5 linked regions of the Rattus norvegicus genome follow. The protein of the gene in region 4 interacts with the protein of the main gene of each other region in a pairwise test. Links are inferred from orthologs where the notes say so. Each region holds a gene or a part of one and is shown on either strand. Other genes may lie near its edges.

The links.
Region 1: the proteins of Pacsin1 (region 4) and Ankrd24 interact in a two-hybrid assay, tested with the Homo sapiens proteins (2 studies listed by BioGRID and IntAct). The link is inferred for Rattus norvegicus from reciprocal best matches to the Homo sapiens genes PACSIN1 and ANKRD24.
Region 2: the proteins of Pacsin1 (region 4) and Cobl interact in binary tests that used the Homo sapiens proteins (3 or more experiments, as listed by UniProt). The link is inferred for Rattus norvegicus from reciprocal best matches to the Homo sapiens genes PACSIN1 and COBL.
Region 3: the proteins of Pacsin1 (region 4) and Cobll1 interact in binary tests that used the Homo sapiens proteins (3 or more experiments, as listed by UniProt). The link is inferred for Rattus norvegicus from reciprocal best matches to the Homo sapiens genes PACSIN1 and COBLL1.
Region 5: the proteins of Pacsin1 (region 4) and Jade2 interact in a two-hybrid assay, tested with the Homo sapiens proteins (2 studies listed by BioGRID and IntAct). The link is inferred for Rattus norvegicus from reciprocal best matches to the Homo sapiens genes PACSIN1 and JADE2.

Annotation. Positions count from the first base shown.
Region 1 is NC_086025.1:8,729,107-8,733,134, forward strand, and holds the start of Ankrd24 (ankyrin repeat domain-containing protein 24), read right to left. Parts: upstream 2,805-4,028; 5' UTR 2,609-2,804; intron 2,033-2,608; 5' UTR 1,869-2,032; coding exon 1,833-1,868; intron 1-1,832. UniProt on the Homo sapiens protein: Component of the stereocilia rootlet in hair cells of inner ear.
Region 2 is NC_086032.1:91,183,692-91,187,201, forward strand, and holds part of Cobl (protein cordon-bleu), read right to left. Parts: intron 776-3,510; coding exon 565-775; intron 1-564.
Region 3 is NC_086021.1:70,319,784-70,324,008, forward strand, and holds the start of Cobll1 (cordon-bleu protein-like 1), read right to left. Parts: upstream 2,804-4,225; 5' UTR 2,690-2,803; coding exon of another isoform or gene 2,640-2,689; coding exon 2,563-2,639; intron 1,993-2,562; exon of another isoform or gene 1-1,992.
Region 4 is NC_086038.1:5,718,552-5,722,735, reverse strand, and holds the start of Pacsin1 (protein kinase C and casein kinase substrate in neurons protein 1), read right to left. Parts: upstream 2,808-4,184; 5' UTR 2,560-2,807; intron 1,077-2,559; exon of another isoform or gene 980-1,076; intron 1-979. UniProt on the Homo sapiens protein: Plays a role in the reorganization of the microtubule cytoskeleton via its interaction with MAPT; this decreases microtubule stability and inhibits MAPT-induced microtubule polymerization.
Region 5 is NC_086028.1:36,620,907-36,625,085, forward strand, and holds the start of Jade2 (E3 ubiquitin-protein ligase Jade-2), read right to left. Parts: upstream 2,804-4,179; 5' UTR 2,590-2,803; coding exon of another isoform or gene 2,462-2,589; intron 2,332-2,461; exon of another isoform or gene 2,179-2,331; intron 1,836-2,178; exon of another isoform or gene 1,702-1,835; intron 120-1,701; coding exon of another isoform or gene 36-119; intron 1-35. UniProt on the Homo sapiens protein: Scaffold subunit of some HBO1 complexes, which have a histone H4 acetyltransferase activity. Acts as an E3 ubiquitin-protein ligase mediating the ubiquitination and subsequent proteasomal degradation of target protein histone demethylase KDM1A.

The sequences.
Region 1 (4,028 bases), on a different chromosome or scaffold from region 4:
CCAGGAACTAGAACTCAGCGGAGCTGACATCTGCAAGGCTGCAGCCTGGCACTTGGCCACAGCAGGAGAGACCCAGGGGCCCTCCAGGCAACCATGAGACTTCGCTTTCTTCCCTAGGGGCTGCAGAGCCAAAAGCCAAGCTTCTCCCTGGCTGCCGTGGGGAAACCAGAGAAGGGTGGGGGTGGCAGACCAGTTCCTGGCAGGAAGGGGCTGACCAGGCCTCCCATCTGCTGCCCAGTCTGGTCCAGTGCCAGGGCCCTGCCCCTCCCTACCCTGTTGCTGCCCCTTCACCAAAGCCCCACAAAAACACAACCATTCCAAGCTAAGTGTCTCTTGCCAGGGGTGGGCTGCAAGATTCTGAAATAATTCAGCTTTTTAAATGAGTGGGTCTTTTTTTTCACGGAGGATGTCCCCGTGTAATAGCTCTGGCTGTCCCAAGTGCTGGGATTAAAGGCTTTAGCCATCATTAAACTTCTCAAAACTTATTTTTCCTTAACTTAAAAATTGCTTTTATAAGGGCTGGAGAGATCGCTCAGCAGGAAGAGCACTGACTGCTCTTCCAGAGGTCCTGAGTTCAATTCCCAGCAACCACATGGTGACTCACAACCATCTGTAATGGGATCCGATGCCCTCTTCTGGTGCATCTGAAGAGAGGGACAGTGTAAATAAATCTTTTTAAAAGAGTTTTTTTTAAGTTGCATTTGTGTGTATGCGTGCACACATTCACGGAGGCAGGGGTCAGAGGATAACTTTGTGGAGTCATTCTTCCTTCTACCATGTGGATTCTGGGAATCAAACTCAGGAGAGATGGCTTAGCAGTTAGATCAATGGCTGCTATCTCAAAGGAACACAGTTTAGTTCCCAGCACAGACAGACAGACAGACAGCACTCTCACACACATAAAATAATAAAATATACTTTAATAACCCTTGGGTATGCATCCTTGGCTGCAAGTACCCTTCCCCACTGAGCCATCTTGCCAGCCCATTATTCAGCATTTGCAATGACTTGGTTTCCAACTGACTGAGATACTCAGGGATTCTGTCAAAAATTTATCTGGGAAATAATGGACCAGGTGGAAAATAATAAGGGACCAGTCCAGCCTTACTGTGTAGGAAAGCAACAGTCCTCCTCTCTCTTCTCTTCCCACCTCATCCCCAGCCTTCCGCCCCCCCTCGCGCGCTCTCTCGCCCCCCCCCCCCACTCTTGCTCTCTGGCTCTCACTAGCTCCTTCTCTCCCGCTCTCGCCCGCACCAACACCCTCCCCTCCCCATTCCCGTGCAGGTCACACCTACTGATACCTATCTCCAACATCTACCCAAGACAGGCAAATCAATTCCGAGCTGTGTGACTTTGAGGAGCTTCCACGGCTCCTTGAGCCACCCTTCCCCTCTCAAAGGCACATGATATAAGTTCATTCCTGGAAGAATCAGAGTGAGCGAGAGACCAGGGCTCACAGCAGAGCACTCCCAAGTGAATTCTTCCCTCAGGAATCACTAAATTCAGACATGAAAATGAAAACAGGGGCAGGGAGAGTTTGCGGGTATCTCAGAGACTCCTTGCCAGCATGTGCAACGGAGCAAGGGATGCCACGGCGACCACCATGACCCTGAGTGGGCGTTGGGGGAGGGGAACTGAGCCACGAGTGGGACTCGGTGAACCCACATGGGCTTAGCATCACCACAGAGCAGCCAGGGGAACCGGGTAGGGGACAAAAGGCGGAGCCTAAAAGAGAAGCAGTGGACTGATGGTGCTAAGCCACAGGGGGTGGGGGGTTTGAGCAGAAGGAGGGAGTGGTGGGTTCATCCCCTCCCCCAAACCTGCAGGTTCACCTCTGTCTTCTTGAACCGTGCCCGGAGGGTCTTCATCACGCCTGCTAGGGGCTCTCGTCCTGTTTCTGGGCAAGGCGTGGGTGGGGTGAGAGACAGGATGCTGGGTGGTCAGCCACACTGTCCTGCACAACACAGCCTGGGCAGATCCGCTTTGTCTCCTGGTGCAGGTTACTTGTGTTCTCTGAGGGAACTGTCCTCAACTGTAAACAGAGATAATTCCTCCATATCTGGGCAGCTCGGTGCAGCTCCCTGAAGCCGGGGCTGAGAGTGTCTCACAACCACCAGCATTAGCTCAGCAGTTCACAAGGCTCTGCGACCTGGAGTTTGTGCGGTCATTGATGACATGAACTCCCACCACCCAGACACACTTCTCCGTGAAATGTCTATTCATAAAATCGCCTCTCCCAGACAGGACTAACTCCCTCCACAAATGGAGTTTCCTGAGGTCTCCGGACCTGGGTCTCCTCCTATACCTCTAACCTGGGTTTGTATGTAATGGAGCTAGAGGGGAAGACACACTGGACAGTCAGTCCTTTGCAAGAAAGTCAGGTCAAAACTGTCACTACTCTTGGTAAGCAAGAGCAATTATTCAGGGCAGATCCACCCACCATCCATCCAACCACCCACCCACCCATTCATCCACTCATCCACCCACTCATCCATCCACCCACCCACCCATCCATACATCCACCCACACATCCACCCACCCATCCACTGACCCCACCTCCTCTACTAATCAGTCTGACGATTCAGGTTCACTTTCACCCCACACCCACCATCAAGGGTGGGTGACAAAACACCCAATAGTTGTCCACATGCTACCAGTGGGAAGGAAATCGCGGCAAGGCAGCAAGGAAGGCCTGTGGATTTAAGGGTTTGCCTCCTGGAAGAGGTGACACAGCACAGGTAACGCTGCGCACTGTGCCTAGGCCACGGCTCCCGCGTGGGATGTGTGTGCCTGTCACAGGTGTGCCGATGCATGTGTTCAGACTGTTGCAGGCAACACCCATGGGGCAGCACCAGCACCCAGACTTCCCTGGGCCTTCCTCACCCGCATCCCCCTACCTCAGGCGACTCCAAGCCGGAGCCCAGCCTCCAAGCAGCCTCTCTGGTTACCCGCTCCAGCTGTGAGCTGCCAGCAGCAGAGTCTAGGTGACACCCGATCAGGTTGGGGGGCGGGGGGAGTATGCGCCTGCCCCAAGGGGACGGGATGAGCCAAGGGAGGAGACAATCTGCTGTTGGTCAGCTTGCTCAGAAGGGCAGCCCAAGGACGACCTCTCCCATCTCCCTGTACACTCCTGCCTCCTCGAAGCCTTTCTTGGGGTCCCCACGAGGGTCAGGGGGCTTCAGTTGTCATATGCTGCCATTGACCTGGACCCCCAGTCACCATTACCATGGCCTGGTCCTGTGTCTGTTGATTACCAACAGGCAGAACGGTCAGATGGTGCCTCCCATCTCTAGATGGCTCACGGAAGCAGGATATCACAGGAGATTTGTGAGCCTCCAATCTATACTCTTCACCTCTCTCCCTGCATCTCTGGGCACCTGTGTACCACGTGGGAGTAGCTCAGTGGACCTGACCCTATGCTCTGTGCTATCCCAGGAGTTGCACCCCAGAAACTAACCCGGGAAATGTTGGCAGGGGGCCCAGGGGTCTTTCCTCTGCTCGAGAACCTCAATTGCTCATTCATTCTATCCTGTAGCCAGAGACAGGCAGACACTGGATGACAGTCACAAAGTAGAGACCCATAGGCTAGGGTATCATCCAGCCTAGCGTGGCTTCGAACTTGCTGTGTCCCGTCCCGCCAGTGCTATAAGCACTCAGGGCAGGGTTCTGAACACTGAGAACTGTGGTAGAGGTTTGTTTTGTTTTGTTTTGTTTCTGGGTTTTGTTGTTGATGCTTTGAAACAGGGTCTCACTACACAGAAACGCTGGTCTGAGACTCGCAATCCCCCTGCCTCGGCTTCTGTGAATGGCTTCATCATTTTTCTGGCTCTGGTCCCCGGACAAGCCCGACCCCTGGGTTGTCTCTGCCAGCACTAAAGACTGCGCCCGCTGCATCAGAAGGGCGCACGCGCTCTGGAAAGAATGCTGTTTACCCCACCCCACGCCCAGGCACGTATTTTTCCGGACCGTCCCTTATCCACTTCCGGCGGAAGCGGCCTCAACAAGGGAAACTTTATTGTTCCCGTGCG
Region 2 (3,510 bases), on a different chromosome or scaffold from region 4:
TATATTTTGATCGTATTCTTTCCTCTCCCCCAACTCCTCACAAGTTCTTCCCACTTCTTGTCCCTTACTCAACTTTCTAGTCCCTCTCTCTAAAATGGTAAACACTTTTATGGAACTACGCCTCCTGGAGCCAAACCCAGAAACACGTGTGTCAAGAAAGCAGTCACCGGTTAATAAGCAGACCACAGTGAATCTGAGAAATCTACTTCTTGATTATATTAGCTGGATGAGTGTTTGGGTGCTGCACAGAACCTGTGACTGCCATACTGAAACACTTCCATCTCCAAGCAGGTCCTGATGGACACGTTGTCCTGCAGCGGTCCTATTTGTATGATACAGAAAGGATCAGTATGGCAACAATAAACATTAGTAAATTTGTAAAGTCCTGCCTCCTGTGAGCAAACCCTGTAAGTTAGTACCAGGTATAAACGAGGAAACCGTGACACAGAGCTGTGTGTTTGGTACCCCAACCGAGGCCACCACCCATGCATACGGATGCACAAGTCTGTATATCTGTAAGTCTGTATGTCTGTATGTTCTCAGACAATGCACAGGGCCACTGACCTCAGGGGCCTTGGTTAGGCCAGGCTTCCCTTTCTCTTCAGGGACTTTTTCTTTCAGAAATACCGTATGTGCATTCAAGGAGCCAATCAACGTATTTGGCTTAAAACTCAAAGGCTGTTGGGTCTCCGAAGACCAGATCTCTAAGACGTGGTGAGAAGGATTCAGGTGGTTCTGAAGGCAGAGTTCAACCAGGAGGTCCATCACCGCACGGCTGAAAGGGAGAAACAAAACAGGGTTATCGAGGCTGCCTGCAGGTTCCCTTCTGTCTGGCTGAGAAAGGCCATGTGGCTAGATGGAAAAGATGAGACTTGTGTATAAAAAAAGGCGGAGGAGGAGGAGGGGGAGGAGGGGGAGGAGGGAGAGGAGGAGGACAGTGTTAGCGATTTTAAGACTTTTAAGCTCTTATGCATAATTCTATGATGGCATGTTAACAGTTTCAATGCTAACCACTTTAATAGCCCATCAAAATCATAATAAATAAACAACAACAGTTCCATTTCTAGATAAATGCATGGATCTGTGAGGTTAGCTAAATCCTATAAGCAAAAGCTACACAACCTATGGTTCTGTGGCATGAATTATCCCATCATTTGGAAGTGTAAAGTATCGAAAAATCCTCTAAATTTTAAATTGAATAAATTGATAGACACTCTGATGAATAACAAGCCAATACGTTAAGGTATTACCCAGCAGAAACTAACAGACTCTGCCAAGACCAAATCAAAGAGAAAGGGGGGTCTTGAACCAATAACATAAAGAGACTGAATCAGTAATTAAACCTCACCTAAAATGAAAACCTCAAAACAAAGACTGCAAGCGAAAATTACACTGAATACCCAAAGAATAACACAGCAATGCGCCTTAAACTCAACAACAACAGCCATAAACGACTGAGCATCTCCAAACTGTAACATCAGCAAGGAGGAGGTTGCCATCCAAAACAAACAGAAATGAAAACAAAAATCCTCAATAAAATACTATTACTGCAATTCAACAGCACAGCAAAAAGATTGTACCCATGAACAAGTAGGATCTCTTCCTGGAATTCAAGCCTGGTTCAATATATACATGGAAGTCAATAAATAATGATATAGCATACTGCCAAAATGAACCATAAAAACACATATATGTCTCAAGTAGTACTAAAAACATCTTATAAAATTGAGTATCTATTCATGATTTTAAAATATCTTTGCCACAATGAATATATAACTGACTGCAATACGATAAAAGTCACTCTCTCTCTGTCTCTCACAGAAAGATAGTGTGTGTTAAGAAAATAAAGAAGAATGCATAAAAGTTTAATTTAGAAAATATAACAGATCTCTTATTGGGTATCGTGTTATTAGGTCACTTATTTGACAAGCTATAAAACAAATAAAGCTTAGTCTCATCTTAGAAGAAAAATCACAGCAGTGAGTGGTTAGTTTTGTCCCTCCGTCCTTCCCTCTGAGCAAACCTAGTGCCAAAAAAAAAAAAAAAATCCACCAAATACCCTATTTCTCACTCATTGTAACTAAACAATATTCAGACCATCGAAATACTCACTACTATCTCCAGGGCAGTGCTTACTTATCCCATGTTCCATCTAAGAGGATATTAACAGCATGCGTCAAACATTACAACAATAATTCCACGGTACTGGTACCCCCGTGTCCCTAGGACATTCGGTGGGAGGGACCAGGACACATTCAACATTCACTTAGAGACTAAGGTGTGAGCAGGAGAAACCCTGCAGTGAATTCTGATCCGTCCAGCTTGAATACATACTCACCTCTCTCTCAACAGGGAACTTAGAAGTTAGAGCGAGCACACAGTAACATGCACCATGCACCCCAACAAAGCCTTCAGAACAAAGAAATGTCTTGGAACAGGGCCAAAATAATACTGAATTGTATGTGCTAGTATTGTATTGAAGATTTGTCTTTCATTCTTGTTCGTTTTGGATGACAGCCTGTGGTTTACTGACGTTGTAGTTTGAGATGTTCATTCTTTTGTTGCTATCGTTGAAGAGTTTAAGAAGCATTCTTTTAATATGTGGTATAATTTTCTATTGCAAAATGAATGCACTTACTTTGTGTATGCATTTAGTTTACGCATATATAAAATAAATATGATGCATTTGGTTCAAGGTTTTCCTTCCTGATGATGCTTCATTGTCTCTCTGGTGGCCTAGAGCTACTGTGTATCACACTTTGTTCCACCATGTCAAGGAGAACCCTAATTTTGGGGTTTCTCCAAGCTGATGGTTTTGGACTCACAGTACACCCAGGTCTATAGTTACTGATTATAACTTGTTTAACTAACCCCTCTGGGGGATCCATTTCCACCACATAAATGTATGAATACAAACTATAAAAAAAGCACGTAGCTCCTGACTGCTATCATCCAAATATTAAGGTCCGAAACACACTGCTATGAAAGGGATCATGAATAGTTTGGGGCTTTCTCCACTGCAGAGAACATACCCTCTTGCCTTAGCAGAAGCCAGCACGTACAACTCTATGTATTGACAGCATTCATCGATTAGGTCAACGGATATAGGTGTCTGAATCTCAACCTTATGTATCAAATGTTATTTCAAAATCAGCTGACCTAAGCCCTATGTAATATGCCCTCTCTCCTCCCAAGTCATCAAGGAGAAGACGTACTTTTCTAAGCTGTCTCCTGAAGACTGAATAGGGATCTCTAATGGGAACCTAGGACCATAAAAGAAAACACAGGACACCGGGACAATTTATTTCATGTCATGAGGGGGTTGACACTTCGTTTAGAAGAAGATGCTCACTGATATGACTAGTCATAACCTTGCCACATGAGCTCGTGTGAAACAAAGGGTGAGGGGACCAGGCCTTTTCCAGTCTGGAACACACCTGTTAAAATGCTAGATGGCACTTGAAAGAAACTCTAAGAAGCTCCTCAGGTCTCTACAAGCTCCTATGGCAT
Region 3 (4,225 bases), on a different chromosome or scaffold from region 4:
CAGTTAACGATTCAACACCAGTATGTTAGAATGTAGATCACAGTCAGGAGACAGTCAAATCAATTACCACAGTGAACGGACACCTCAAACCTCAGGTTTTACTAATTGGTTCAGTAACTCTGGCAGAGCATTTCCTCCCCCACACCCCACCCCGTCGTAAAATGTGGAGCTGCACTGATTTGTCCTTCAAATAACCTGTTACAGAGGCCTAGACCTTGGAAAATTACAGACAACAGAGGACTTCTTTTGAACAACAATATCCAGGGATAAGAACTAAAGGAGGCCTCACCACCTATTAGGTTATTGAGTCATGATATAATTAGTTCTATAGTAAGGAGCCTTCCTTCAAAACCAACAATTATAGCATATCAGGATCGCACCCTGCCACCTCCTGAATATTCTCATTTTCCCACAATTTAAACCTTTTTTAAAGGGCTTTTTTTTTTTTTTTTTTTTTTTTTTTAGAAAAAGCAAAAGCAAACGCTAATCCTGGATACTCAAAGGACGTAACAAGCCTTGGACTAGACAAGTGGGAGAAGACGAGCCATTAGAAGCTCAATTTTTTAAAAGAACAGTGTTAGGTATTTTTTAAAAGAACAGTGTTAGGTATTCTTGCGGTCTATTTACAGGTGCATTTTCCCAGATGTCTTCCCTGAAGTTTGAAAAGTAAGTGCAAAGGTCCTTTAAAATATTTTCCTCTGTGGGGTGTGGTGGTGTGTGTGCCTGTAACCTCAATTTTGGGAGTCAGAAGCAGGAGGCTACCCTCAACTATAAATGCAGTTCCAGACCACCCTGGGCTAAAGGGAGTCTCGAATGAATGAATGAATGAATGAATGAATGAATGAATGAATGACTCATTGAGCATTTAATTATATTCATGCTCTTAAGGAACTCAGTGGTTTAGCCCCTACGTTCTCGAGCATACAAACTGGGGTGCTCTAGGCTTATCACTAGAAAGCTCTTCACGCTGCTCCGTCACAGAGCTCTCTGCCCTCCCCTACTTTGTTCAAAAGAACTGACCCTCGAGCATCTGTGACTGCGTTCTGTGTAAATGTATGACACAAATGCACAATGGAATTCTCTGCTATTTTCTTAAGAGTCTAATTCAGTTTCGGGTGAAAGCTGGTTCATCGTTAACTTACATAAACCCACAGCTCTGTCCCCAGGCCTTGTTTTACATTCAGAATCCCATCAACATATTTACTATTTCACACAGCTAAAATACATGGAAGGAGACACATTAGTATCTAAACTGCCCCCCCCCCCCGCCAAGAAAAAGTGGAGCTCTGTAGCAATAGGGATACTTGCATGGAGAAGATCAAACTTTAGAGAAAAAAAGAACGAATTCATACGCTGCAAATTTCCTCTACGTATGCATTACACTAAATATCTGTTAGATTAGTCATGCAGCCTTGAGACTCTTCCATGTTTCCTCTAGACAACTGCCAATGCTCGCATGGCCTCTGACGAATAAACATGCTGTGACTTGCTCCTAAGGAAACGCCTGTCATGTTCCAGGGAAAAATGACTTCTTCACTCTTAAACCACAAAAAAAAAAAAAAAAAAAAACAAAAAACAAAAAACAAAAAACTGAACGACTCTCATTCATTGCTTACAAAGTCGCCTGTTCCTTAACGTTCCCATTTCCGGAATGTTCATACTTTGTTTAGGGCATTTCTAGATTCTGATTAACAAAGAAAAAAGAAATTGGGGGTGCTTTATGGTAAAGAGGCTACAAGATAGCAATGGGGCGTTCTCAACTGAAGCAGGGTTGTGTAGTTTGACCGTTTACCACGACAAAGGTTATTCTCAAGTTCTGCTTGGCCCTTGCAGGACTACCTGTTCTCACCACTGTTTACCCAAACGTTTAACAGAGTGATTTTTAGCATATTTGGCAGGAAGGCATGCTTCATTTAATATTAACTCACCATGTGACAGCCCCTTCCCTTCCAATCGCTCCTCAAACACGTGACGGTAAAAAAAAAAAAAAAAAAAAAAAAAAAGTATAGGTGTTTGCCAATGCGACTGGCTTCGCGCTCGGCTTTGGCATCACCAATTGGCCAGAGGCACACAACACACACACACCCCCAGTCAGAGGCGAGCACCCCGCCTGCTCCCGGAACTGTCAAGCCGGGCTGACAGCTGGCACACCTTGCTGAGCCCTCCGAGGACTTCTAGGAAGCCCCTTTCTTGCAGTCACCTTGACAGAAGCCACCCGCCTGGGCCCGAGCGCTTGGCCGTGGAAACTTTTCCTTCCTTTCCCGGAGCGCACTTACAGGTGTCGTCCCCCGCCGCTCCACAGCCCCAACAAGGGGCCCTTTGTTACCACTTTTGCTCCGGGACTCCTCACCCAACGCCTGCCATTCGACTGGCCTTCCGCAACCCCCCGATCGGAAAGCTCGCCCAAACCAGCGAACCCCCCACCCCGGTTCGCCCGGGAGGACGCAGTCTCCTGCCCGCGTGTGGGTCGGCCCGGGAGCCGGGCGGCCCCGCGGGGAGCTCGCTGCGGGCAGGTGAAGCGCGCGAGGCCTCGGCAGCCGGGAGGGCAACTACCCTACTTACCCTGCAGAGCCGGCAGACTGCGTGGCGGGGGTGCGAGGCGCGCTGCGGGGTACGGGATCCCGGGCACTGCGGTCCATCGCGCTGCTGGCCGCGGCGCGGGCTCGAGCTCGGAGGCGGCGCGTCACTGCTGGGGTGGGAGAGGCCGGCGGGTCAGGGCGGGAGCGGGACAGCCAAGAGCCCGCCTCGACCCACGGCAGCTGGGGGCAGCCCCGCCTCCCCGGGGCGCTTCCACCTGCGGGTCGGTCCCTGCCTGAGGGCGCCGCGATGCCAGCCACAGGTCCCCGCCCCGGCCGCAACCCGCAGCCAGTCGGGGGCGAAGGGGCGGCGCGCGGCCGCCCCGGCTGCGAAGGAGGAGGAGCGGACCGGGCGCGGGACGGTCGCCACGCCCGCAGTTGGTGCTTGGGCTCCAGCAGCCCGCTGCGCACCAACAGAATCCCGTGTAAACTTTTCCGGAGGTGCTGCGGACCACAGCGCCCCCGCTTTCCCAAACCGCTGCCTGCTTTAGGGGACCCGGCCCGTCCAGGCTCCGCGCACTCCACCCGGAGCTCCGCTCCTCCCCCGCGCGGCTGGCTCGGACGCCCCGGAGCGAGCGCGCGGCGGAAGAACGGCCGCCGCGCCAGCGCCCCAACTCACCCTGCCCCATAGCCCTGCCGGGAGTCCCGAGCTCGCAGTCGCCTCGGCCAACTCGCCCTGCAGAAGTGAAGGTGACGAGGTCGGCATCGGAGCGAGCAGGGCAGCCAGCCGGAGAGGGGACGGATAGGGCGAGCGGGCGGGGACGTGGAGCGAGGAGGAATTTCCTACCCCACCCCGCACCCCTCCCCGGGGCACGCGGCTTTAGGGTACCGCGGGGGAGACCGGTGGACAGGAATCGTCTAGGCGGCTCGTTCCAGCCCCCACTGCCAGAGCATAGCTTTGGGAAGCCCCGCGAACCCAAGAGGGACAGTGGGCGGACAGGGAGGATACCTGGCCAGCAAAACCCCAGGGAGGGCCCAAGCTGTAGCGGAAGTGAGGAGAGCTCGTGGAACGAGCTCTGCTGATTGACTACCTGCAGTCTGACCTTCCAAGTGCTGGATTTTCTTTTTAACCTTACTGACCCCTGCGGTTGCTAGCCTGTAAATGGCACCTCTGACATTGTGATCTTTCTAATCCCTGGCAGGTTTAAGCTCGTCCTGTCTTCCCAGGCATGCTTCTCTTGATGTAAACATCCAACAGCTGTGATCTGAGGACTGGACGTTCTCATGATGACAGTCTATAAGCTAAGAAAGAACAGCAGAGATTTAGTGGCCTCCTGGAAGTTTCACAGAAATAAAGGAATCTCAGTGCTTGCTTGTTTGTAGTTTCGGTTCCTACAAGTATTCTCAGAGGAGGTGTCCCACCTGACAACCAAGGGTATTAGCATATCCTCTCCTCATTCTTAGAAGCTTGCCAACTATTTTAAAGTCATATTGATGAGTCCAAAAGCTTACCTCAGAAAATAATGCTAAATTAAAGAATATATAAATGGATACCCCAAGTGACAAATCTGTGATAGACATAAAAACATGATGTGGGCTAACAAAGGACTTACATTTTTGGCACACATTAAAATTAAACTAGTATTTATAACCCGTGCTTAATAAAAGGTTCTCATTCATTGCAACCACCTCCAATGATTTCTGGAATT
Region 4 (4,184 bases):
TCGGAGGTGACCTCTCACCTGGGGCACCAGAAAGCTCCTTAGAGAGAGTGATCTGAGTAGCCAGGCAAAGATCTGACAAGAAAACCAGGCTGTGGGCAGAGCTTCCCAGACCACTGGCAACCTGCACCCCAGCTGTGCCAGGGCCCCTGACAATGGGCTATTTCTGGTTGTGCCTAGAAGAAGAAGATGTCGCATGTGTGTGTTCCCCCCCAGGCTGCAGAGCTGGGTTTGGGGGAGGTGGGGGAGGTGGAGGGTAAGGCTGGAACTTAAAAGCCAAGCCGAGGGTTTGAAGCTGAGTCTAGCCAAGCCCTGGGGTTTGCCACTGTGTCGCAGGCACATTAATGACCCTTTAACCTTTGCACAGCCTCCTGAAAGGTGAACACAGCCCGGAGAGCGCCCCAACCGTGACCAAATGGTCTGAGGTTGGTGGAGATTCGAGAAGGCGGGGTGGCGCAGAGAGGATTCTGCAGCATCTGCGGGGGCCCTCAGCACCCACACCTCCTCTCTCCTTCCACCGCCCACCCCCAGCTGGTGGGGGGGAGGGGTCGGAAGCAAAGAAGGAAGTACCTGTAATCTAAACCAGACATCGCCGGCTGTGCTTCTCCCCAGCCCACTCTGATCCAGAAATAACCTACGCACCAAGCTGGCATCAGCCCACCCATCCCAGCTGGTCGCAGAAAAACACTCAACATCGGGGGGCCAGGCCCCCGCTTTCCAACGATCCAATTTCCTCTCCCTTTCCCCAGGGTAGAGGCCTCCCCTTTAACATCCCCAGAGGCCATCCTGGCACTGCCTGGGTCAAGTCCAAGAGCATCCCAGGGCGCGCGCCCTCCTCTCCCCAGGTACCTGCCCTCGGCTGTGTCCAACGCCATCACACGCTGGCTACCTGCACCCCGCACTAGGGCCCTGGACTCCCCCACACACCCCAACCCTACCCCCGCCCCCACCCCGCACTCTCTCAACGTCTTAGACCCCCTACCTGGGTGCCGGAGCACCGGACACCATCGGCGGGGCGGGTAGCAAAGTGGGCGGCGGCGGCGGCGGCGGCCCAGCCTCAAGCCCGGATGGCTTCCCGGGGGAGGAAGAGAAGGAGGAGGAGAAGGCAGGCGCGACCGCCGCGCGTCTCTCTGGGGCTGCGGGAAGGAGGAAGGTCAGAGACTCCGCGGAGCGCAGCGCCGCGCGGGGGCGGAGGCGGCGCGGATTAGAGCGGCTTCTCCGCGAGCCAATGGCGGCGCGGTGGCTGCGCAGGTGGCAGCGCCGCGGTACCCGGAGGCCGCGCCCGCCCGGCCGCCTGTTCCCGAGCTCGGCGAGTGTGGTTCCTGCGCGCTCCTAATCCCTGCTTCTCATGTAGGGGTACGCGCAGGATGGGGGTTTGCGGTTTGGTGCGATGACCCTCTCCTCTACCTGTGTGTGCACGGATACGCGCAGGACAGGCCCTGGTATGATGACCCCCCTCCTCTACCCATGTGTGTTGGGTATGTGGAGGACAGGAGCCTTCAGGCTAACCAAATAGTGAGGATGCTCTCCTCCGGCCTAGCCCACGGTCCACCCCCACACTCAGCTCTGCCAAGAAGACCTGTGTGGATCCTCAGGCCACAGTTCACCTCAAGGAGGCTTTCTGGGACTTGGGGATCTAAAAGGTGACAGACAGACAAACACACACACACACACACACACACACACACACACACACACACTAGCTGCTTTCATGCCTTGTATTCGAACTGCTTCCAGGAGCCAGGCTGTGGGGCCTGACTTAGCAGAGCACAAGGTTCGTTCAATATGTCCAGAACATTCCATAAACCAGAGAAATGAGACCAGGAGGAGAAAACTGCCCACTTCTGCCCCTCCCTAGCGCAGGCTCGAGAGATGTTCAACAGGGTGCATAGAAGGAAGTTTTCCCGAACCCCTCCCTGGGGGGCGAGCCTCACTGTGAGCTCTGAAGTCCACCAGTCTAGGGACCCAGAGGAATGCCTGCGACAGTGTAGTGTTCGTTCGTTCATTTACCAGGAATTCCGTGAACACTGGTTCCAAACTTTAACTTCTAGGTTAGAACCTAGAAGACATCGCCAAATGAACAGGCCACAGGCGGCATCTCTCAGGGTTTGGACGCGTCAAGTGAGTGGATGTATTAGTCAGGGAACAGAGGGATAGAAGGAATGTCTATTACAAAGGAGCTTGTTAGATCTGCTCGAACGACGACAAGAGTCCGCGCGCTGGAGAGGCTGAGGATACCATAGCTTCTCCAGGACACTGGGTTCCTCAGTAGTCCCAATGTGGCACTGAATGCGTGGAAGGTTCCGGAAGAGCCCCAGGAGTCATCATAGGCCTTCCGGAGACATTGGAAGGTTGAAACGGTGGGATTCTGTTGCAGCAGCGGCTGCAGCAGCAACAGAACGGATACATTCACAAGCATGACGCAAAGGTGGGCAAGCCAACGGCACTATGCCCCACCCCCAGACTTCTTACATCACGCCACCCCAGAAGGTACCGCCCACCTTGGGAGAGTCTCTTTTACCTCTCAGTCAGTCCTTCCGAGAAATGCCTTCCCATGCTTACCCAGAGTCTCTTAGTTCTTCCCAGGTCCAATCAAGTCTCTATTAACCATCAGCGGTTGGTGTTCCACGGAAGGCTGAGGGCTCTGGGCAGAGCTATCCAGTAAGGTTTTCTAGTGGTGCTGAAGGAGAACTGAAGTTCAGGTTAGCCAGATGGCCCAGGAGTAAGGCAAAGCCATCAAGGCCCGCAGCTCTGGGCTGCCTCTCTACACGGGGATACGATAGCCTGGAGCTAATGAGGCCCACCCTCTACTCCTGCCTCAGCACCCTGATTCCGGTTCCCCACACCCCAAACTGGAGTTTACCCTCAGCCTCAGGCAAAGCTGTGAAGCTCACACGGGTGCGACAGCTGTCCAGGAAACACTGACTCAGACTCCTCATCTTGTTAGCCATATGACAAGCTGTCGGTGGAGTCTCTGGGGCCTAGGGGAGCCTCGGACACACCCAGGGCTCTGTTCTGGGGTTCATAGCAATGGTGGTGGTTTTTCTCTCCAGATGGGATGCTGGAAGGCACGAAGAGTACCTAGCCCGCTGCTCAGAACCTAACAGGCCAGGGAAAAGGACACCCATTTTTTTTTTTTTTTCGGAGCTGAGGACCGAACCCAGGGCCTTGTGCTTGCTAGGCAAGCGCTCTACCACTGAGCTAAATCCCCAACCCCATGGGCACCCATTTTTATAACCACAATTATCCGCATCTCCAGTGCTCTCGCCCAGTGTTGTGGAAACGCACCCCTTTAAGACAGAAGCGTCGGGGCTGGGGATTTAGCTCAGTGGTAGAGCGCTTACCTAGGAAGCGCAAGGCCCTGGGTTCAGTCCCCAGCTCCGAAAAAAAGAAAAAAAAAAAAAAAAGACAGAAGCTTCACCTCAAGAGGCTGGTTCCCGGGGTTGGGGATTTAGCTCAGTGGTAGAGCGCTTGCCTAGGAAGCGCAAGGCCCTGGGTTCGGTCCCCAGCTCTGGAAAAAAAAAAAAAAAAAAAGAACCAAAGAACCAAGAGGCTGGTTCCCCACAAAGGTTCTCACTCGGGAGGCAGAGGCAGGCAAATCTCTGAGTTCAAGGCCAGCCTGGTCTACAGATCAAGTTCCAGGACAGCCAGGGCTGACAGAGAAACCCTGTCTTGGGGGGAAAATCCTTTAAAAAAAATTAAACAAATAGGCTCAGTAGTTAAGAGAACTTGCTGCTCTCCCAGACACCCTAATTTTGGTGGCCAACACCCACATGGGACAGCTTACACCTGCCTGTAACCCCAACTCCAGGGCATCCTCACACCCTCTGGAGGTCTCATTAGACACAAACACACAGGCGCAAAAAAACGCACACATGTGAACAGACACACATGCGCTAAAAATAGTCTCTTTTAAAGACCAAACAAACAAAAGCAGAGAGGAGTGAGGGAAAAGACAGCCAGGGGCTCTCTGGGCAGAGCTGAGGTGTGACTGGGGTTGAACTCAGAACGCATGCGCGCGCGCGCGCGCGCGCGCACACACACACACACACACACACACACACACACACACACACACACACACACACACACACACACACACACACACATTCACTCCTGTCCCATGTAACCTAAAATAAAATGTTTCGGGTTTCGGGAACTGACGCGGGATGTCCATACTTCCTAAA
Region 5 (4,179 bases), on a different chromosome or scaffold from region 4:
CCCTTACAGTTCATTCTCTTATTTTCCTTGTCCGCTTAGTAGATTGCTCTGCAAGTTCCAACCCGCCCAAGGAAGATGGGACAGGAGGGCCTGGAGGGCTGGTGTGTTCGCCTGGGGCCCTTAAGGGGGCAAAAGAAATCAATCGAGGGGAAAAAGAAGTCAGCACCCTGGGAACCCAGAAAACAGGGCCAGGCTCGGTTGGCAGTCCTCTGCGGGGATCTTCTGCCAAATGTCCTACTGGGAATTTTACCAGTGACAGGAGAGACAGTGCCACTCTGGGAGGAGAACCCAGCTCCCAAGCTCCGGTGTGTTTGCAAATATAAATGTGAAGGGAGCATCCTAACTTGTTCCTCCTGGCTCAGAACTCTTTATTTCAAAACCGGGGCCCCCGCCCCTCCCTAACCCCTCTGGCACCTTCTCTGAAAACAACCATAATCCCTCCCATTGACCTCTTGCAAACTGCCTCTGGGTAAAACTTTGTACCTCGGAATCCTGCAGATGAGGTGGGGGTGGGGGTGGGGTGCTTGGGACAAGGGTGAAGTTTGGAAATCTGCAGAGACTCCGGATAGCGAGTGCAATGTACCCTGGGGCATAAAGAAACCCGGCGCCCCTCCCCCGCCCCCCAGCAGGAGGCCTGAGGCCAAGCTGGTTAAAAAAAAAAGTGCACAGGCCGGCTGCAGCGGCTAAGGGGATTAGAAGAGGGTTGCCCGCCTCCAGCCTGCCCCTGGCGGCCGGCGACGGGCACGCAGGCTGGAGGCGCGCCGGCGTGATTCCGACCGCCGGAGCCGGGAGGAGGAGCCGGAGGTGGCTGAGGGGGGCTCCGGCCCAGGCGTAGGAAGGGCAAGAGGCGGTTCGGGCCGGGGGCGGTGCCAGGAGGTGGGTGGGCTTGGCGCCCGGGGCGGGGGAGGGGTCTAGGGGACTGGGGAAGGGCAACTGAGCCCAGGGTGGGGGCGGGGGTACTGAGCGGGGCAGAGGTGTGCAGTAGGGGGACCGGGCTGAGCTGGCTGGGCCTCCCTAGAAGGTAGAGGGAAGCCTCCAAGCCGGTTTTGCAGATGTCCTCACCCTCCGGCGGAAAAGCTACGAGTCTCCAAGCTGACCCAAGATCACCCCTTGCCCGAAGAAGGGGAGATCTCAAGAGCCCAGGGATGGGCGGGAAGGGACCATGGGGAGCCACAAGTCTGCACCCAGGCGGGGAGTGGGCGAGCGAGAGCCGCTCCGCAGGCGCAGGCAAGTGGGTGGGAAGGAGGGAGGGAGAGGGAGGAAGGAGGTGAGCCGGGAAGATGCCACTGCCGGGGGCGGGGCCGGGGATCCGGCAGAAGGACTGCAGCAGTGTTTGGTGGGGGCGGGGGCTGCAATGTCACTCATTTTGGGGTCAGGTGCGTGTGTCCCAGGCATGGCCCGCCACTTGTCTGCTGCTCCTAGGCACCACCCAGAGTTTAGTAAGGGCGGAGGGAAGGGGGGGGGGAGCTGCAGAGTCGTCCCTGAAGCGGGACGCGAACCAGCAGAGTTGGGAGAAGGTAAACAAGGGCCACGCCCCCTGCCGTCGCCCCGCGAGCGCGCACCCGCCGCTCCGGCCGTCGCCGGTACATTTCCACTCTCGCAGTGCCTCTCCCCCACCGGACTCCCGCGCAGCACCGGGAAGCTGCTGTCCACTACCCCAATATGCACCCTGGCTGCCGGGGTTGCGCACCCAGCACTCACCTGGGAACGTTGTCCCCCGCCCCTTAAAAAGAAAAAAAAAACTAATTTGTGCAATGCCTCTGAACCCAAGAACCGAGCATGCTGCCCCCGCGTGCAGCTCCCGCGTGCACCCAGCCTGGAAAGGGGGCGCAGGGCGGAGGCGGTGGCCCCCGGAAGGTGTCTAGGACTGGACCGGCTGCACGTGAGCCCAGCGCGGGGTCATGTGCATCGGCTCAGCCCGGTTCGGCACCCGGACGTGCTGCGTATCAACAAAATGAAACTCGGGTAGACAGAAGGGCAGATGGCTCCAGGTTTCCCGTGCCCCGGTGCCCTGCCGCTCGGCCTCCCCACCCCGCACCCCGGTCGCGCCGCAGCCCCTCGGGCCGGCCGGAGCCCGCGAGGCAAGTTGCAGCCCCAGCGCCCCCACCCGCCCGCGCCCCCTCGCCGGCCCAGGGGCGCTTTGCCGCAGTCATTAATAAAGAAGGTCGCCAGGCTCACCCTTCCAAAAGTTGTTGCATGCGCCCCTCTCAGCCTCCCCGCACTGTACTCTTTAAAACACGGCTGACCAACATGCGCAATCTCTCTCCCCAGTGCTGTGCGTCCCCCCCCCCCCCACCCCCCGCGCTGGCTTCCTAGAACAGGCAGCCAGCGAGAGAGGGAGCGAGCGAGCAAGAGAGAGAGGGAGCGAGGAGCACTGGCAGATCTGTTGAAAAAAAAAAAAAGCCCACAAAATAACGCCGTGGAGATGCGCAGGGCCCATCCGCCGGGGGCTGGCTCTTACCTTGCTCCGCGGTGCCCTCCCGAGGGGCGCTGCCCTCGGCTACGCGCCGCGGCGGGGGCCGGCGCGGGAAGGATGCTCCTGAAGCCAGGAGCTCCTGGGGCCGGCGCGGGAGGGCGGGGGGCGCGCATCCATCCGGGGTCGTGGCGAGGGAGGCGACCGGGCCGCAGCGTCCCCCAAGCCCCGCACCCCTGCTGGGAAGATGGTCAGCCCTCCAGTCCAGAGCTGGTGCCACTAGGAGTGGGCGCAAAGTAACTCCATGGACGCTACTCACCCCCCCAAAAAATAGCCTCCAACTGCGATGGCCGCGGTCGGCACCATTCACCAACCCCCGTGTATGTTTCTGTTTCTTTTTAAACCAAGACTTCCTTGTGATCTCTTTAGAGGGGGAAAAAATGTGTTGGGGTGGGGGTGGGGTGGGGGCGGGCAAGAAGAGAGGGAGGGGGAGTAGCCACTTTTTTCTAATTCACTCGGATCTCCGCTCCCGGCACCCCCCTGTCGTGTCCCCCCCCTTCCCAGTTGTTTGGCTCCGGCGACAGTCCCAGGTAGCGTTGCGGCCCCCCCGGGGGGGGTGCCCTGCACGGTCACCCGTCCGCCTGCACGCGGGCCCGGACTCCTCGTGGACTCTGGGGCGCCCCCAGCCCGCCCTGTCCCCAGGGCCGGGCCCGAGCGCCGGCTGAGCCCGTGCAAGTCCCATCAGGTCGGCTCACACTTCACACACTCACACACATACCCCGCCCCTCCACTCGCTCACTCACACTTTCTGCTCACACCCCGCCCCCTTCGCGCCCCAGACCCAGGCGGAGCCCCCCGCAACCTTAAAAAAAAAAAAAGCAAGCTTATACTTAAAAAAATCTTTTGGCGCCATATTAATGACGTACTTAAAATTTGCCATTTCTCCCTGCGTCAAAAAGACGTTTCTTTGCAAATAACAGCCTGGAGGCGACACTCGCGGAGGAAACGAGGCTTGCACGGAGTACCCAGCCCGCCCGCCCCACCCCCAGGGACTCCGGTGCTGGAAGACCCTCGCCCTCCGCCCGGTTTCGGAATCACTGGTTTTAAAATCGAAATCGAATAAATCGCGTGGCGTTTTTTGCAGCGCCAGAAGTGAGCAGAAAGTGCAGGCAGGAGTGCAGGGGAGGGGCGCGCATGGGGCTGGGGGAGGGGGCGCGGTCCTCCTTCCCCCCACCCACACCAAATGCAAACTAGCATCCTAGGTAGGGAAAGTTGAAATTGTGGGCGACCTCCGGAAGAGAGGGGCAGTCCTTAGAGGGGGGTCCCTTCTTGGGCTCGTTGCCCCCTCCCCCTCGCGGGTGCCTCCTGGCGCCCGGTGCTGCCCTGCATTTCCGGGGGGGGGGGGTGAGGCGCACTGTGATGGGTGGGTGGCTAGCAGGGTGGCAACATGTCCTAGCCTCAGGAGGAGTTTGCCCCCGGGTACCCCCTTTCTCCTGCCTCGTGCTTTTTATAACCGCAAAGGGTTAAAAACCGAGGGGCAACTTCCCTGGGTTGGTACTTGGCAGAGAAGCGGGGCGCCCCTCTCCCCACCCTCTCCTTCTCGCCCCTCCTCCTCCGACTCCACTTCCCGACTTGACCTTGTGGTGCACAAACAGTGCTCTCCAATCCTCGCAGTTTCTGGAAGAAGAGCCTGCGCTCGCCAGGCGGGCGGGCTGTCGGGCGGCTAGCCGGCAGTGGCGGAGCCTTGGGTCGGTTCCCTGAGCTGC